Tamandua tetradactyla: one gene and its partners. The protein of the gene in region 3 binds, or shares a complex with, the protein of the main gene of each other region. Links are inferred from orthologs where the notes say so. Each region holds a gene or a part of one and is shown on either strand. Other genes may lie near its edges.

The links.
Region 1: SF3A3 (region 3) and SF3B2 share a complex: the UniProt entries of both Homo sapiens proteins name them as parts of the 17S U2 SnRNP complex. The link is inferred for Tamandua tetradactyla from reciprocal best matches to the Homo sapiens genes SF3A3 and SF3B2.
Region 2: SF3A3 (region 3) and SF3A2 share a complex: the UniProt entries of both Homo sapiens proteins name them as parts of the SF3A subcomplex of the 17S U2 SnRNP complex. The link is inferred for Tamandua tetradactyla from reciprocal best matches to the Homo sapiens genes SF3A3 and SF3A2.

What each region holds. Positions count from the first base shown.
Region 1 is NC_135335.1:8,381,042-8,384,788, forward strand, and holds the start of SF3B2 (splicing factor 3B subunit 2), read right to left. Parts: upstream 2,595-3,747; 5' UTR 2,553-2,594; coding exon 2,420-2,552; intron 2,247-2,419; coding exon 2,200-2,246; intron 1,898-2,199; coding exon 1,820-1,897; intron 1,057-1,819; coding exon 808-1,056; intron 590-807; coding exon 539-589; intron 1-538. UniProt on the Homo sapiens protein: Component of the 17S U2 SnRNP complex of the spliceosome, a large ribonucleoprotein complex that removes introns from transcribed pre-mRNAs.
Region 2 is NC_135337.1:80,640,432-80,644,178, forward strand, and holds the start of SF3A2 (splicing factor 3A subunit 2), read right to left. Parts: upstream 2,348-3,747; 5' UTR 1,858-2,347; intron 1-1,857. Other genes in the region: PLEKHJ1 (pleckstrin homology domain-containing family J member 1), read left to right, coding at 2,448-2,541, 2,666-2,733, 3,016-3,082. UniProt on the Homo sapiens protein: Component of the 17S U2 SnRNP complex of the spliceosome, a large ribonucleoprotein complex that removes introns from transcribed pre-mRNAs.
Region 3 is NC_135328.1:187,345,668-187,349,414, reverse strand, and holds the start of SF3A3 (splicing factor 3A subunit 3), read right to left. Parts: upstream 2,874-3,747; 5' UTR 2,795-2,873; coding exon 2,699-2,794; intron 2,419-2,698; coding exon 2,371-2,418; intron 1,125-2,370; coding exon 1,072-1,124; intron 967-1,071; coding exon 861-966; intron 1-860. UniProt on the Homo sapiens protein: Component of the 17S U2 SnRNP complex of the spliceosome, a large ribonucleoprotein complex that removes introns from transcribed pre-mRNAs.

The DNA of each region.
Region 1 (3,747 bases), on a different chromosome or scaffold from region 3:
GCTGTTTTTTAAATACTCCCAGGTAACCCATTAGATAATTAAAACAATGCACCTCTAGGGATAACATCTGACTCATCATCCCCAAACTTATATTCCTCATATTAGACAGTCTAACACCTATAAAAACGGATAAATGAGCCAAAATTTCTCTCCAAGGAACCTAAAGTGACATCATTTAAGACCTCGCAGGGGCTAGCAAACTTTTTCTGTAAAGAGCTGGACTGTGGCTTTTATAGGCCACAAACGGATTCTGTTGCATGTTCTTGGTTTTCCTTTTTGCATGTTTGTTTTTACAGCCCTTGAAATATATTTTAAAAATTCTCAATTTACAGGCTGTACAAAAATAGGCACAGGCCATAATTTGACAACCCCTGGACTACAGAATGACTGGAATTACTAAGGAAATAATGGAACATAGTTGGGGATGAGGGAGCTTCCAAAGAAAACTTGAATGGGGCATCTCATTTTGGGCAGTAAGCAGAAAATAACAGTCAACTGACTGGACCATGAGGTCAGAGGTTAGGGGGAGGGGCATTACCCGCTTCTGCTGCTCCAAGAGCTCATGTTCCTTCAGTGAATGATCTCCCTGCTTAAAAAAGAAAACAAGCTCATACCAGCACCGATACCCCGCAGGCCAGTCTGCCACAACTCGGCTTCCTAGGGTGCTCTACCAGCCTAAGGCCTATGTTCTAGTCCTTGGTCCAGAGCTTCCTGAAAGCTTCAGCCCCAGGATCCAGCTCTCTCTGGGGCTCTGCTCCCCCTTCAGGGGCCTGGTGAGGCCTAAGCATAGGCTTCCATCTACCCTACCTGCTTGGCACGCTCCTCTTGCTGCATCAGCAACGCTGCCTGCTGTTGTGCCAGCTTCAGCCGTTCCTCCTCTGAAAGTGCCACAGGCTCACCCACACGGAGGGGAGGTGGGGGCCCCAAGCTTGGTGGGTGGGGTCCAACTCCCATAGGAAAACCAAGGCCAAGGCCTGGTGGAGGTGGTGGGGGTGGCGGAGGAGGCTGCAGAGGAGGAAGCCCCATGGGTGGAGGTGGCATGGGAATCCCAGAGAGCTGTGGAGAAAATACAACCATAAAGTAGAAAGCATTTATCTATTTATTCTGCAAATATGTTTTGGGGACGTATTATGAAACAGGTACTGGGATTCTTTCATTCAAGAAGAGAATGCACCATAGCAATATCAAGAAAAGAGACTATTAACTATGGACCATTAACTGAAGAAAGCTATCAACTCTCTCCCCACAAAATGATCATGAGTGCAGATCTTGCATAATTTCAGGAGATTCAGGGATACTTCTAAAGGCTATCTAGGGACTCCTCATGCCACACAGAGGTCAATGGACCCCAGGTCAGAGCCACTGCTTTAGAGAAAAAGAAGCAAAATCAGAAAAAAACCTGAATCAGAAGGAGCATAGATGTTACAAGGAATTAAATTTACAGTGTACCAGGGCACCCAGCAAACCCTAATAATTGCAGGGAGTATGCAATCAATTCAGAGAGTTGGCTTTAAATGTCTCACTGAATGACATGGGAATTATCCCCTTGGAGGGCATGGAAAAGGATAATTACTTCCAGGAAGGGAGCATCATGTCAGGCTTCCAGGTATTTACGCTGAGTCCTGAACTACAGGTAGAATTTGGAGGAGCTGACATTGAGAAAGGAGGCAAATATCAGGACCAAGAAAGAAATGAAGAGCTCCCAGTATGTCCTCACAATATCTCCCTGCCCAATCTGATAGCTGCAAACCCAGTACACCACATTCGAGAGGAGGGCGGAGCCTGCGAAGGACCTTATAACACGAAACAACCTCCTCACCTGTGCTGACATGGGAGGGGGCGCAGTTTTATCCCCATCTTCCCCTCTTAGAACCGACCGATTCAGCACTATGCCAGTCTGCAAAAGCGAAAAGGAGGTCAATGTAGGTGAGTCCAAGAGGAACTGTTACGGTAAAAAACGTTCCGTCCCATTCACTGAACACTATTTATCCAGTGTTTGTCTGCCAGAACTCAGGCTGGGCAATGGGGAAGACCCACATGCACAGAAACGATTAAGACAGAGCAGGAAAAGGCAAGAGAGGCAAAGAGAGCAAGCCCCCGATGTCCTAAGGTGCATAAAGAACGAAAATCGAGCCATGAATGGACTTAAAGTCCTTCTCGAGAAACGGCCTATCCTGCCATTCCGCGGCGAGCACTTACCTGGCGGGTGTAACTCTGCAATCGCTCCACCAGCTCCTCGCGACTCCCTGCAGGGCAAAGTTATAGGATCAGTGAGGCAGGTCAGGCCGGAGCAGGCCAGTCTGACCCGGTCCAGGCCCAGAGACCAGCCTTGTCCCGCGGTCCCCAGGTCTCCCGGGTAACCAAGCTCCGCTTCCTCGTAGTTCCACGCGAGTCCCTTTTGGCTTCCAACGCTCCTCACCCTGGATCGGAGCTCCGATCTCTGCCAGCTTCGCCTGAAGCTCTTGGGCAGCCCAAGCGCCATAGTGCCCTGGGGGTGGCGGCGGCGGCAGCTGCAAGTCCCCTTTGGGAGGTTCGGGATGGTCGGCCGCCATCTTAGCCGCACGAAGGCGCGCAACCAATCCGGAAGCTCGAGCCAGCCTCCGGGCCCAATTCCCGGAACTTCCGGCAACGCCATACGCTACGTCCTCTCGCGGTTGGGAGTACTTTCTGATCGAGGCCCGCCCCCAATTGCGTCCCCGTAGACGCGCCCTTTCTCCAATGGTCCTTACATAGCGAGTCGCGAAGCCTTCTGGGAGTTGTAGTACTCAAGCCACTATATATGAGAGCCAGCGACGCCGCTGGGAAACACCCGGGCCGAAGCGTGGGTGGTGCTGCGGTGGGAGCGCCTCCTGGCCCGAGGGAGTGCTTTCAACGTCTCCCTGCTGAGCCTTCCGACCCGACTCCCTTGATCGGGCAGTCCCGAGAGATTCATCACCAATGCGGCCACGCGTTACGGCCGCTAAGCCGGAGGTGGAAGCCGATGCCTGCGATAACACAGGGTCTGATTGTCTGCCCGCCCGCCCACGGCCCAGGCATGGATGAATGGACTGAAAGGGGATCGGAGCCGGGAGAGGAGCAGGCCCGACCGGGCCGAGCTCCAGCTGCCGACCTGGGGGCGGGGAGGGCGACACTACAGCCCCCCTTTCCACCTTCCAGGTCGACTCAGATGTTGTCCGCTCCGCTAAGTCTTCTCCCACTTCCCTTTCCTTTGGAGCTCCCAAAGCACTTTCAAACCTCCACTACTCAAGTCTGTATTCTGCCCTTTCTCCTCACCTCCACCCCATCTCCAGGAATGTGAGCAGAGAGCTGATCTATTTACTGTGTCGCAGTACCTGGCACTGAAATGGCGCTCAGTAAATGAAAAAGACTAAATGGAACAATCTTTCTGGCGTCAAGAGTTGCAAATTCTTCGTCTCGAAAATGAACTCAGGGACTTTTCTTCCTTAAGCCTCGCCAGCCCTCTCCCAAGTGGCCTCTGCGCCGTGAGGCAGGGATGGGCAGGGGCTCTTTGCTGAAACTAGCTCCTCACCCTCACTGACAGCCAGGCTCACTGTGTGTGTGTGTTTGTGTGTGTGTGTGTTTGTGTGTGTGTGTGTGTGTGTGTGTGTGTGTCCGTCCGCGCGCTCGCGCGTGTTGGGTGAGAAAGAGAGAGCCCTAGTTCAGTTGTCTCATTTATCGGCCCCCTCCACCCCACATCCTTCCAATCTCTCTAGTTGGCGCCATTTCACCGACTGCCCCCAACAGACC
Region 2 (3,747 bases), on a different chromosome or scaffold from region 3:
TCTTGGGGTTTGTTCACATGAAACTTAACCCCGCAAAGGATAGCTCAAGCCTACTTAAAATTTAGGCCTAAGAGTCACCCCCAAGAGAGTCTCTTTTGTTGCTCAGATGTGGCCCCTTTCTCCAGCCAACACAACGAGCAGTCTCACCACCCTAACCCTCTCTATGTGGGACGTGACTCCCAGGGGTGTGGACCTTCCTGGCAACGTGGGACAGAGATCTTGGAATGACTGGAGACTCAGCATCAAGGGATTAAGAAAAACCCTAGAACGAGCTCAGATTTAGCATCAAGGGATTGAGAAAACCTTCTCCACCAAAAGGGGGAAGAGGGAAATGAGACAAAGTGTCAATGGCTGAGAGATTCCAAACAGATTGGAGAGGTTATCCTGGAGGTTATTCTTATGCATCAAGTAGATATCATCTTGTTATTCAAGATGTAATGGAGAGGCTGGAGGGAACTGCCTGAAAATGTAGAGCTGTGTTCCAGTAGCCATGCTTCTTGAGGATGATTAAATAATGATACAGCTGTCACAATGGGACTGTGTGATTGTGAAAACCTTGTGTCTGATGTTCCTTTTATCTACCTTGTCAACAAAGGAGTAGAACATATGGAATAAAAATAAATAATAGGGGGAATAAATGCTAAAATAAATTTAGTTTAAATGCTAGTGATCAACGAAAGCAAGGGGTAAGGGGTATGGTAGGTATAATCTTTTTTATTTTCTTTCCTGTGTTCGTTTTATTTCTTTTTCTATTGTCTTTTTAGTTCTTTTTCTGAATTAATGCAAATGTTCTAAGAAATGAATATGCAACTAAGTGATGATATTGTGAATTACTGATTATGTATGTTGTTTTATTTTATTTTTAAATTAATAAATAAATTTTAAAAAAAAGAAAACCAGGCAAACAGGAAAACAAGGATTGATGAAAAAGTAATGGTAGACGAAAGAAGGCACGCCTTACAACGCATTAGCGACGAACCACACACATTTATAGTACTAGAAAATACAACTAAGGGTTTGACTAAAAGTTGCAATGTAATCGCAAGGTTTGGACGCAGATGTTGCAGCGCGTGGGAGAAGTCAGTTCTCACCAACTACGGTGGAAAAGCAGCAGACTGTGACTAAAACTGGTAAGTCCAGAAAGAAGTTAATTTATTTACCAAGACAGAGAACAGGGAGAACGGCTTTAAAAACATGAAAAGCGGCCTCTGAGGCCTGAGACTGCATGAAGGAGTAGGGGTTATAGTGCCCGATGAAAATACGGTAATTTCCTTAAATCTAGCACACTTTTCCGCAGAGTTCCTCCCAGGTTTTCCACCTGCCCTCAGGGACCACAGATCGGCGGTCACGGGCCATCAAACAATGACTACCTGGGCGATCAGGTAACCTCTGGGCTCATATGCAAAACGGGCCCGCTAACATTTCCTGGGTGCCCTCGGAAGGTATTCCACGCTCTCCCTGACACGACCTGATTTAATTTAGTAGCGGCAGTGATCGCCCACACCCCTCGTCTTACAGAGACGGAAACTGAGGTTCCCAGACGCGAAGCGACACCCCCTCCCCAAGGTCCCAAAGTCCGACAGCTAAAAGGCAAGTTTTGTCTCAGCAGAGGGCTCGCCACACCGCGGCCCCGCCGGGAGGGGACAGGGTCTGGGGCGTGTTGGCCTCGCCCCTCCTGGGGGCGGGACCCGGCCTCAGGCCCGCACAGTGAGCCCGAGGAAGACCGCTAGGCCGCTCGCTCCTCAGCTCGCGGCCTCCAGCCGCGCGGCCCGTCGCAGATGCCCCCTCCCACACGCGGAACCCTACAAGGAAGCCCAGGACCCAGAGCCCACCACCATCATCCACGCCGCTCCTCACCAGCGTCCGAGGGAGCACAAGCCGTCCCCGCTTTCAGTGGTCGCCACGACCTCACCCGCGCGCGCGTCGTAGGCTAAGAAAGCATTTCCGGGGGCAAGTGGGGCGGGTCCTGCCACGTGCGCATGCCCGGCTCGCCCGGCGGCTCGGGCGAACCGCTCGGAAAGCGCGGGAAGAGGGCGGGGCTGGGAGGCCTGGCTGGCAGCCGCAGTGCGCGTGCGCACAACTTTCAACGCCCTCCGGATTTGCTCCGCGTCGCGTGGGGGTCAGCCCTCCGGGCAGAGCCCGCTGAGAGTCCTTCCCGCCCGTACTCTCCGCTTTAGTGAAGGATGCTAGCAATCGTGGGGTGGACCTGATTCTGTTTTCACCCCAGGTCCAGTTTATTCTGTGACCTTGTAACGACCGTCCAAGTCCCCTATGCACCCCTCGCCTGCGGACCCCATCGCTACACTCAGGTAATCGACAGAGTGGCCGGCCAGGGAGTGCGCAGGCGCACTGGCTGTGGCAGCACTTCCGGTACTGTGCGTTGAGACCTTTTTGGCGCTGGCCGCAGGCGACGGACCGGGGTCCAGCGTTCTCCCTTCCGCGGCGCCATGCGCTACAACGAGAAGGAGCTGCAGGCGCTGTCGCGGCAGCCGGCCGAAATGGCGGCCGAGCTGGGCATGCGGGGCCCCAAGAAGGGCAGCGGTGAGCGGGGCCCGAGAAACTGGGGCGTTCGGCTTTCCGCATTTCGGGGGACCCGATTAACTGGATGGCTGGGCGCGGGGCTGGCCCCTGGGCCGCCCGCCCTGAGCCCGCTCTGTGCCCACAGTGGTGAAGCGACGGCTGGTGAAGCTAGTGGTAAATTTCCTCTTCTATTTCCGGACGGACGAAGCCGAGGTAGGGGCGCCGTCCGCGGAAAGGGGGAGGTCCCAGGAAGGCGGGAGCAGAAAGGGTGCGCGGGGTACAGTCTCTCGCCCCTCGGCCTCTTCACTCCCCCAGATCGTCTGACCCAGGGGTGCCGTGGTTTGCTGGTCGAAAACCATCTGTCTGCATCCTTTCCACCTGGAACCTGCCGCTCGGCTGGGGAGGGAGCCGAGGTCAGGGGAGGTACAAGCCTCCTGTGAAGTGGGGGCCCAGGTCCTGGCCTGCTCTCCGCATCTGCTCCTCTGTCTCCTCCAGCCCATCGGAGCCCTGTTATTGGAGCACTGCAGAGTCGCCAAGGAAGAGCCCAGCGTCTTCTCCATCAGTGAGTGGGGCCAGGGGACAAGGACTCCCCACCATCCCCTCCCCAGCCTGACACCACCTCTGTCCCGACACAAAGTCCTTTTTCTCAAGGTCGGCTCTCTGAGGCGCAGCCTCTCCCTTCAGGCTGGGCCTCCCCCCAGACTTTGCTCTCTCCCGAGGGCCCCAGGCTGCGGTCACTGGGGCTGATTGCATGCACCCAACCATCCTGGAGACTTCGTAGCAGCCTCCCAGAACTCCATTTGGACCTTGTCATTCTTTAGGGTTAAGCATTGCCCTCTTGGGGCGCTTGGGTGGTTATCTCCCTCAGTGTTTGGGTTTGTGCTGCCTCCTGAGAGGATTCTCCCCAGGCCATCTTCTTGAGGGTCTCACATGTGCAGGGACAGATGGAGTCTGGTACAGAAATACCCAGCCTAGTGTGTTTAGGGTTGGGGTTGGGTGTGGGCAGGAAAACTGCTGGAGGTGGGGACGTTGGAGCTGGCCTTCCTGGCGGATGAAGGCCCACGATCAGGGCCGTGGTGCTAGCGTCCAGTGTTACCAGTGCCCCAAAGGAAGCCTTTGTGTTCTGTTCATATCTTGAGAGTTAATGTGGAGAGCCCAGCAGTGTCAGGAAGGCCCAGGCTGGCTGTGGCATGTCATCCCAGGCCTTGCAACTTGGTTCACCTTGAG
Region 3 (3,747 bases):
AGATTACCCCTTCTTCCTTATCTCTACCAAAGAAACAACCATCTTCCCAGTTATACAGTCATGAAAGCTCAGAATAATTTCTGATTCATCCCTATCTTTTCTGTAGCTGTGCCACACCTCACCCCCCCACACACACTCCAGATATTCCTTTGGGGAGTGTGCAAGGTGCTTAGCAGGTTCTAATGACAGCACAATCCCTGCTCCCTATGATTTTTCAATATAGTGGGTGGACATTGTTACAAACCAGAAAGTGGTAATCACTATGGACAGAAAACAGAATACAATAGGATCATAAGGAAAAGGAACACTAATTTGGGAGACATAGAGTGGAAAAGGTATTTCATGAAAGTTGGCCTCTGGGCTGGATCCTAAAGGTGTAATGGACATTGGGAATAAATCATCTTTGTGTTAGCTGGGTCCTCTAAGAGGGGGATCTTGAGACAGAATTAGGAACATAGGCGTTTATTGAGGGTAATGCCCATGAAAGATAAAAAGGAGTATAAAGTAAGATTGGGCAGGGTAAGTCTATACCATGACAGATCAGACACAATCTTGACTAACCAAGTAGGGAACTCTGGAGTAAAGATTACTCCCACGTTGGGAAGAAATGGCCAGGACCTAGATTCCCAGCTGTATTCAATCGCTGGCTGGGAGCTCCCAGAAAGAGCATGACTTAAAAGCTGATAAGGATCTTGAAAGCACTATAGTTGCAGGCTGTCCACTAGCTACGTTCCTTGCAGCTAAATGGCAAGTTTTTTCTTAAGGGACATCTGAGTATCACGCCTCCATTTTCTTTAACCTTTCCTTTAGTATGCTTTATGGTGAGGTCTGGAGAAAATACCCTATTTTGGCTATTATACCTCATTTGGGTGCTTTCGGTGGAATTCCTTTATTTGCTTAAGTCTGTTGTAGAATTCAGCAAATTCATTGGGTCCTGAAATGGCATTGAGCTCCTCCTTTCGTAACCTGCAATTTCAGGAAAAATCGAAAGGGCATAGAGCACAAAGTCAGTCTTTTAACCTCAGTTCCTCAGAAGTACTAACTCCTGGATTGGCTATGACTATCACTTACCCATCCTTATCGTCATACAAATCCCTCAGGTTCCCGCTGACCTCCATATACCTCTGAAAGGCAAATACAAACCCATTAAAACGAAGTAACTTGTACAACTGTAGAGTTAAGCAATCAACAAGGGTTCTCTAGTTACAGCCCAGGGAAACCTCAGGAGGTATAATGTTAAACGTTCTGGTATTTTCTAGTACCTATCAGTAGCCCAGGTTTTGGTTAGTTTTTAAAACAGGCTGATCTGAAGATTACTTAAACGATAGGATTTGAGGGGTAGCAGCTCCCTCTCTACATCTTACAGATGCCTAACTTTTCCTATAAAAGATTTATCCCCTTTGGCTAAGCAAAAGTTTCCACCTGAGGCCCTCAAAGATTTTCAGTATTTCAACAAGCTTGAATGAGCACACAGGTTAACTAAACAATACAGCTTTTTTTCTAGATCCAAAACATATTAACTAGGTATGGTATAGAGTCACAATAACGTCTCCAAAATTTGGGGGATCAAATCTGTTTCAGAATTCGGATTTTTTTAAAGAGTTCAGGAAGAGACTACAAATTATGTAACATCCCAAAGCAACCTGGAATGTTAACAGATATTAATAGGCACATTAATAGCTCTGTGATGAAATTTCTGCACATTTATTAAGTGGGATAAATAAAGGCTATAACAAGTCTCTCATCTTGTTTAGGTCAGGTTTTGCTGTTAAACGATTTACACACATACACCCAAAACTAGATTTGAGAATTTGGATTAAGGCCTGGGGGCCTGAAACACTGATCACCTCCTACAAATGAGAAGCTCTGATTGCCTTTTATTCCTTTCTAGACAGATTTCAAAGATACACAAAATAGCACAGCATTATAAACTTCTATTTACTCATCAGCCAGCTTCAATAATTACTGGGCAAATGCAGTTTGGTAGCAAATTTAGAACACAATAGTCTGAGAGGAAAACATACTGAGCTTTCTCTTTTGGAGGGATTGGATAATATCCTCTTTGCTAGAATCGCTGACTCCCCATAGCTACTATTTGCACATTCAAGAGACACAGGACGCTATAAGTAGTGTCTTTCTTAATAATGAAAAAATGACTAGGTTTCCTTCTCAGAGAAGAAAATAAAGACAGTTCAGTATCTTCGGGTTAGGGAGTTGAGTGGACATCTACTCCAACCAAGCAACCCTCAACCAGTCAATCCGGCTACCTCTGGCCAGGGCTCAAAGTGAGATCCCGCACCCCGCATCCTCTCTTCCCACCATTCCCGGTGCCCTCCCGACTCAAAGAAAACCGGACAGCGGAGCACTCACATCCTGCATGGCTCGTGTGCGGTGGTCAGAATTAATCTGGTCCCGGAGCTGAAATTAAACACAGACGCCGTTAGTTTCCGTCCTGGAATCGGAAAAGCCGCCCCAGGGCTAAATTTACCCGCCCAGGTCTGAGTTGCAGAACTACAGAGGCCTCTAAGACGCTAGGCCCATGCAGGCGGTTACCAAAGCCGGAGCTTGGAGAGGGAGCCCCGCGCCGGGGCAGGGGGAGGGGCGCGAGAGGGTCTGGGGGTCAAAGAAAGCTCTCGGAGGCTAAACACTGGGCTAGGAGCTTAACCTCAGATGTAGCCCCTGCTCTGGCCCCACTCACCGTGGACTTCTTAGTAAGCATCTCTTTAGCCATGACGTCCATGAGCCGTTCCTTCTCCTCATGGTATCGCCGCTGCTGCTCCAGTATCGTCTCCATCTTCCCCTCCGCGATAGATCTCAATTCAGTCCACCGACGCGGCCGGAAGCAACTACTGCCGCCGCGCGCGCTTGCATCCCCACGCTGCTCATCCGGCTGCACCAAAGTTCCGCACGTGCCGGAAGTGTCTCGGGGAAGTGAGCACCAGGAGTAGAGCCAGGCTGTGCTGTTGCGATGACTGCAGTGACCCCTGCTGGTCATGAGTGTGGTGGAGCGAAGTGGGAGGTTTGCAGACGCCTTTAGGGGGCGTTCGGAAATCCAGGAACCTGAGGTTAAACCGTGGACTTCCTGGGGCTTCCCCGGGTTGGCGTGGCCTAGGACACCTGCAAGGAAGGAGACTGTTCTGAAGAATAGTTGAAGGGCACGGGATGGGGGTTGGGAATCCGGAAGCTGGGTCTCTAGTTTTCAGTGTGACCTTTCATAACGTTTTACCCTCTCTGGACCTCAGCGTCATGTCAACAAAACGGGGACGATAGCTTTTTTCTTTTTTTTCTTAGGAAGGAAACAGAAAATGACAAGTGCTGGAGAGGATGTGGAGAAAGAGGCAAACTTATCCACTGTTGGTGGGAGTGTAAAATGGTACAACCGCTCTGTAAGGCAGTTTGGCAGTTCCTCAGGAAGCTAAGTATGAGATGGCCATATGATCCAGCAATCCCATTGCTAGGTATCTATTCAGAGGAACTGAAGGCAATGACACAAATGGACATTTGTACATTGATGTTTATAGCAGTATTATTTACGATTGCCAACGGATGAAAGCAGCCCAAATGTCGGTCAACAGTCGAGTGGCTAAACAAGGTGTGGTGTAATCATACTATAGAGTATTACACAGCTGTAAAACAGAATAAAATCATGAAGCATGTAGCTGTGGATGAACCTTGAGGATATTATGCTAAGTGAAATTAGCCAGAAACAAAAGGACAAAAACTGTATGGGCTCACCAGTTTGAACTA